2 linked regions of the Tribolium castaneum genome follow. The protein of the gene in region 1 binds, or shares a complex with, the protein of each later gene. Links are inferred from orthologs where the notes say so. Each region holds a gene or a part of one and is shown on either strand. Other genes may lie near its edges. The genes, in order: Tif-IA and Polr2L.

Region 1 (4,578 bases):
CCCGGTACTTCCCCAATTTCTAACTCAACAATTTAATAATCCCACAATTTAGGAAAACCAATCGAGGAATATAGACGCCAGCTTGGGAGTTTTGGCGTCTCGGGCGACCTCGCCCTCCAAACCGTCGCCAGTTTATCAGGGGGGCAAAAATCTCGAGTCGCTTTTGCCCGAATGTGCATGGGTAACCCAAATTTCCTCGTACTTGACGAACCCACCAATCATTTAGATATCGAAACAATTGAAGCTTTAGGGAATGCGATAGTCAAATTCACCGTAAGTTAACGCTTTTACCACTTTTGGGTGATCACATTACCACCATACACTTTTTTATTTTTTTACCTCCCTTGTGCTTAATTTTTTCTAGGGCGGTGTGATACTTGTGTCGCACGACGAGCGGCTTATTCGCAAAGTGTGCAAGGAGTTGTGGGTTTGTGGTAATGGCTCTGTGCGAAGTATAGAAGGTTTTGATGAGTACAGACGACTTGTCGAACAGGAACTCGAAAGTCAGTCTAAATAACGAGTTTACTTTTTAATAGAGAAATTTGTATAAATGTGCCTCCTTTGTGGAAAAACTATTTATGATTTTTTGTTATATTTATAATATATTCATGTTTATAACGGTATTAAAATATAGGTCATATTTTGAGAAACTTTATTTTCCTATCAAATTAATAAATAACATCTTGCATAAATCAGTATCACATTAGCCCTTAAATTTAAACCCTGGCGAAGTCCCGTATGAGAATTTCTGCGTTTTTGAGTTAAAGTCATTCTCGAGGAAATCGTCAACGTCCCCAATTTCCCTCATTTCTGAATCGTTTACCTCAAAACTCACCTCCTTGTAGTCCCGATAAAACGGGTGCACTTTCGCACTCGACCTGCAATTAAAACAGTCAGGGGAATCCCCCAAAAAACGGTGCAACGAACCTTGATAAAACAAAAGGATCAAACGGGTAACACGCCTCTAGGACGTTACTTGAAACTGTCACAAAACCTTTCTCGTCTCTATAAACAGTCGGTAAAGTGTTCCTCGAATTGTGTTCAATGATTGAGTAACAATAGGCTAGTTGGTACTTTCGGGTAATAGCAGCGAAATTTTGCACGACTGCAGGTTGGCAAACCCGCAACGGGTTTAACCGACTGGTTACGATTTTCGCCAAGTTCAGACTCTCCAAAAATACGACATCTGTAATCAAAGTTGTGACAATGTTCGAGTAAAAAAATCATTACTTTTTTTTGTGTTGACTAAATCCTTGTGCCGGAACGAAATCACATAAAAGAGGGCTTGACACACTGTGTAGAAGACAGAGTGGAGCCTTAGGTCCGAATTGACGCACTCTAGGCCGTCCTGAGTGGCGATATACGAGTGGATCCATTCGGCCATTTGTTGCAAAGTCCCCTTCAACATGCTGCAATTTTCCATTAAACTGGGGCATAAAAAATTGAAAAAATCTTACGTAAGGGGGACGAAAGTGGCTCTCGCTATAAAACTGACAATATAATTAACCGCCGCTTGTCTAATCACCGACGCGACGTTCGGATTGCACACCTTCTTCCACAAGTAATTAAAAAACGCCTCCGTTAACGTCGTTTTAAAGGAACACAGCACAAACATAACAAACTGGACGTGATGAGTATTGTAAGTTGGCAGGATCGACTGATCAAAGACCGTCAAAATATCCTGGTATAAAGACTTGGTTTTGCCCCAATTCAAGTCATTAGTGCCCGGCTCATGGCACTCGGAGTAAATGTAATTGAACACTTTATCCAGGCAAACGTCCAAAGTGTGTGCCATTGAATGGACGCAGTCCAGATTTATCGTAGTGTTTGTTTTGCTCTCGTCCATCATGAAAATTTCCTCCTCTTCAAGTTTCGCGATTTCCTCGCGGGGCGCACTCACGTCCATGATGATCAGTTTTGAGAAAATTAAGTGGAGGATGTTGGGTCTGAGAGTGGGCTGGTAGCAGATGACCCAGAGGAGGTTCTGGATGTAGTATTCGTGGATGTGGGTCGATTTGTTCATGTAAGGGAAGTGGTCGATCAGGGCGTGGATTAGCAATTCGTTGCACCTGAAATGCCCATTAGCACAGATTTAATTTATAAACTATTTTATAGAGAAAATTGCTTATTACTCTAGATAATTACATCCGGAAAGTACCTGAGACTTGAAAAATTACTTACAAAGGGACTGTTCTTAGAAGTTCACAGAGGAGGGAGTGGACGTGTTGGCACTTCAGAATATCCGTTTTACTGGGGGTTCCATTTTCCCATTCAGGGTCTGTTAGAGCTAAATAATTCACTGGTAATTAACTGGTGATTAGTTACTTTACCAAACTTACGGGGAAAAAACAATGTGACTAATTTATTTATCACAAAATCTGCGTGATAGTTATGTGCAGCGACTAAGTTCGCAATAAATGACTGATACTCCTTAACTACATTTTCGTTTCTTTCGATCCAGTCAACTGAAAGGAGTGCTTCTACAAAAAGACGTAACTCCTGCTTCATTATTGAAATACACTCAGTCGCTTCCTTCAACAGTGAGGAAATATCGTCATCAAACAGTTCGGCATCGCGAATTAGGCACACTAAATTTTCATAATCCTTTGCATTTCCGTGTTTGATGTAGTCCTTCAATATGTGGCGCACTTTTTTAGAGTGTGGTAAAATAAATCGGACTTTAGTGGGTGTGTTCACTTTCAAGGAGCGGTTTAATGTCGATTTGAGACTTGGGGTTTTCTTCAGGATCGAGGAAGGGGTCGTTGACTTCGTGGGGGCCGAGAATAAAGACATAATGATCTGAAATTTGTTTGTTTTTTCTGAAAAAATGATAAATATGGCACTTACATAAATTAAAGCAACGGTTCAGTCACAGTCAATCAATAAAAACAGTATTTCACAATGTTATTTAAATCACATCTTTTACAGGTTAGGAGAAAAACGTGTGGTTTGACGTCTGCGTCTAGGGTTATTTGTTGTGGCTTTTCGAAGTTGCTTGGTTGGCAAGGCTACTATTTAAATTTTGAGCCGGGCTAATTTATTAAAATAAATTAAAAGTAAAATCAGTACAAGATGTTAATATCACCTATTCAAAAGCATTTCACGAACCTACTGAAATAAAAAACAGTGAAATTGGAACATTGTACCAGTAAATTCGTTGAAAATATTATAGATTTTAATGTAGAAACTTTTCTAAAAATAAATTATTGAAAACTAACCCTTTAATCCGGGTTGTTTTCTCTTTTCCCCTTAAAAATCCCTTTCAATAGCACACACTAACCGCGATCAGCACGCACTAGTCAACGAATTTGGAACTTTTAATCCGCAAAAATTCTTTCACAAAACAGTAAGTCATAAAGTGAGTAAAATTAAACGACACGGCAACAAGTACGACACCAACAAAAAATATAATCTGTGAGGTAACTTATTGTTACAAGATGGGAACAAGGAGGTTTGTCTAATGTATTGATTTTTGTCATTTAACGTTTTTTTTGATCTGAAAAACACAAGGAGGCACATTTTTAAGGTCCAACCCGACAACCACAGAAGTTCATCTCTTAAGCAAATAATTTCAGCCAAACATTTTAGTGAAATCTTCACAGGATTCACAATTAAAACAAATCCACTTTGTAAGAACAAACTTACTCTCGAAAACTAAAAGAATTCGATTATTTTTAACTCAGCATACTTAAGCAGGTATTAATTTTTTTTTGAATAAGATTCTTTACATGATATAGGGGCAGAGCCGGATCGAGGGCACTTGCCTCAGATGATCTTTGGGAAAGGGAAAAAAACAACAGAAATAATCACCTCTGATTTCTCTTTTCCAGCAGTTATGGAACAATGTAAAAAACCTTGATGGTTAGTACTTTCCTGTTTAAAAAAGTGCTGTTTAAATGTTAACAGCACGCGCTGTGTGTAACCAATATTGTCAAAAAGACTCTGAAGAACGAATTTATAAAGGAAAAATAATTGAATGGTAGTTTCAAATTAATATCATAATTTATTACGTCTACATTTTATAAATGAGTAAAAAAACTCTTTAACAACAACAAGGACGCTACTTAATACTAATGAGCGAGTATTATATGTCGTCATTTGTAATTAGAGTAGGAGAGTTTCCTCCGAATAGTTGGTAGACTCAAGTCTTAACCATTCTTTCAATATCAGTTTCAGTAGGTACTCTAATTGTAATGAATTCAAATGATCACTTGGTACACAACCGTCCTTACGTCTAATGATATGTGAATGAACAAATAACTTAAGATTATTACTTAAAATAATACTGTTGTGTCTACACATCTACACACCCAATCACACTCTTAACTAACCCCATTGTACTTAATCTCTTTGTCATTTATCCTAAACCCATTAACAAACTCTTGTTTGTCAATAAAAACCTCATCGGGCTCATCTGGCAGCATCGTCGTGTCCTCAACCAGCGTGTCCTCCTCATCCGAATCCGCCACAAGAATGGGCGTCGCCCCGTCGCACAAATTCGACCGACTCAAAGTCCTCTGGTACATCTCCTTCGAAATGCTCCTGGTGAACGAGAACCGCTTCGACTTCTGTCTCGTG
Region 2 (2,461 bases), on another chromosome or scaffold:
AGTTTATTTAAAGTTACATTACTTTTTGCATAGAATATAATTATGTGAAAATGTATGGGGTGTTTCATTTCAAAAAATATAACTCTAGTAAACCAGGATGTATACAACACCCTGTGTATAATAAAAAAAAGATAGTTTGTGGACTTTAAGTCTATCTATAGAATAATGAAAACGAAAACATGGCAAAATTTCAAGTAACAAAAAAGTTACAGACCGCACCCCTGAGTCACCCTGTATCTTTTAAAAAAATCACCAACAATTATTGTCTTATGGTGTTACAAACACTTAAATTAGCAAATTATACAATAAATAATTTAATATTAATCATATTAATATTATTAATCACTGGAAACAAAACAACAATTAAAATGGTTGCTAAAGAAAACAAATACAAGAATGATAAAAAAATCAAGTTGCTTGGGAAAAGATCTGACTTCATTTCTAAACTTTACTGGACATCCCTTATCACCATATCGACACTTTCTTGACCCTCTAGACATGGTTGAATTAACAAAGATAATGCAATTTTTTTGAATAACTTTATAAAAATAAACAAAAAAGTTACCGTGAACTCGTGAAGTAGGAAAAACTAAATAGGATGTTGCAAAAATGCTGGTTTATGAAAGACAAGGCATAATAGTAAAATTTATTCAAAAACGCGCCTTTTTACATGCCATAAAATTAAACTTACACCTACACTTACTTAACAGACTTACTACTACAGATTACTTCTCTAAAGGAGCATAATTCAATAACTTTTCAATAAGATCGACGTGTCCAAGAAGCATTCTTCTGCAACAGTACCTCTTCAAACCCAAAGCATCCAAAGCATCTCCTTCCGTATATTCAGCTTGCAAAAGCCCAAGATAAGCCTCCCATTTATTTCCAATAACTTTCCCACAAGTAAAACAACGAACCGGTATAATCATCTTGTCTCGACAAAACCTGAAAAAATATAACCTAATTTTTCACTGACACATCAAAAATTAACCAAATTCTGTACCTCACACTCTCGCTTAATCAAAATTTGTTGCGTTGGTATTTAGACTTTAAATTAGATTACTTTCAAAAAGCTTTAACTGCGCTTTTCTAGAAGCTTTTTGATTTCTAATTTCGTGAATTTCTGGGTTCTTCACTTCTGGAATATTGGTGCTCCTGATCAATTGAAGCTTGTGGCCTGCCATCTGTCGACGGCAATAACAAATAAGGATTAATTTCTTGATTAAATTATTAAAAAATCGCAGAAAACATGTGAAAGTTATATTGAAAACAAAGCCTAATTTTTTGTATTAATTTACCGCGTTGTTTCAAGCACGTTTTGTCAACGTGAAGTGGTAAATTTCTACAAATGTTTCAAGCGGAAGTGTGAAGTTTGAACAGCTAAAGCCGACTTTGACTAACCGCGTAGTCACTTCCGGCGAGCAGTTACCGCTACTTTGCAAGCAAGCCGGCCATTATTTGTTAGCGGCAAGCTGCGTGTCTGTTGATAAAACGGTTAAAAGTGCACCAAATTCCACTAAAACCGTTTACATTTGTGCATCAACTTCGGCCCCAGACCCTCCTACAAGCCACAACCAAATTTGCCAAATATGGGTGACGAAAAGAAGGTAAACATGACTTTTCTTTCCTAACCATAAACGAGGTTTTTTTCCCGTAATTTTGAACTGATACTCACGTTTTTGGGACTTTGCAGAGCAATGAAACGGAACATATCAACTTGAAAGTACTGGGACAAGATAATGCTGTCGTCCAGTTCAAGATCAAAAAGCACACCCCTCTCAGGAAGCTGATGGGGGCTTATTGTGAAAGAGCGGTAAGTGTTACACTTTATCTCAGATTCTTTAGTTTATTACTGGGACAAATGAGTAAGAACATGGATTGTGATTCATACTTGTGTTTACTAAAATGTATCAAAAGCCGCATCCTTTCTCCAAGTCTTTAATGTGCCATGATTTGCATTTTTTTCATGTTTGGACGTCTGAAACCGCCACATTTGTTGCAACTCAACTTCTTAAATGTCTAAACCAGGATTTGTTAATGTTTGTTCACTCCTGTGCGTAGTGATTGGTTGTATTCGGAAATAAAATTAACTAGACGCCCTCTGGTGACGACTTTTGAACTATGTCGAAAACAGTAACGAAATTTTCGTAATTCAATATTTAATTTAATTTTTTAATTTAACAATTTTGCGTGTGTAGTGTTAATTACTTACAGTAGAGAGAATCACTTTAAGGTAGTTGGGGCCTTACAATCGGAGCAAAAAGTTAGGCCAAAAGAATATATGGTGCCACAGTGTATAGTATCCACAGTAACCAACCCAAAAATTTTTACTGTGAATGTACTGCCCTGGCCAGTCATAACTCATTTGTGGAATGTGACAACACTGTCGGAGTTTCGATTGAAAATGTCAAATGTGTCAAATAATTACATCACAAAGGAAGAATTATTAGGCTAAAACCAT

Evidence for each region.
Region 2: Tif-IA (region 1) and Polr2L share a complex: the UniProt entries of both Homo sapiens proteins name them as parts of the pol I pre-initiation complex. The link is inferred for Tribolium castaneum from reciprocal best matches to the Homo sapiens genes RRN3 and POLR2L.

What each region holds. Positions count from the first base shown.
Region 1 is NC_087395.1:22,076,119-22,080,696, reverse strand, and holds Tif-IA (RNA polymerase I-specific transcription initiation factor RRN3), read right to left. Parts: upstream 3,007-4,578; 5' UTR 2,848-3,006; intron 2,800-2,847; 5' UTR 2,794-2,799; coding exon 2,340-2,793; intron 2,288-2,339; coding exon 2,182-2,287; intron 2,070-2,181; coding exon 1,458-2,069; intron 1,410-1,457; coding exon 1,231-1,409; intron 1,187-1,230; coding exon 928-1,186; intron 879-927; coding exon 704-878; 3' UTR 636-703; downstream 1-635. Other genes in the region: ATP-binding cassette sub-family F member 3, read left to right, coding at 1-4, 53-273, 365-517; tyrosine decarboxylase, read right to left, coding at 4,323-4,578. UniProt on the Homo sapiens protein: Required for efficient transcription initiation by RNA polymerase I (Pol I). Required for the formation of the competent pre-initiation complex (PIC).
Region 2 is NC_087394.1:15,049,581-15,052,041, forward strand, and holds Polr2L (RNA polymerase II subunit 10), read right to left. Parts: upstream 930-2,461; coding exon 726-929; downstream 1-725. Other genes in the region: Sumo (small ubiquitin-related modifier 3), read left to right, coding at 1,590-1,607, 1,694-1,813. UniProt on the Homo sapiens protein: DNA-dependent RNA polymerase catalyzes the transcription of DNA into RNA using the four ribonucleoside triphosphates as substrates.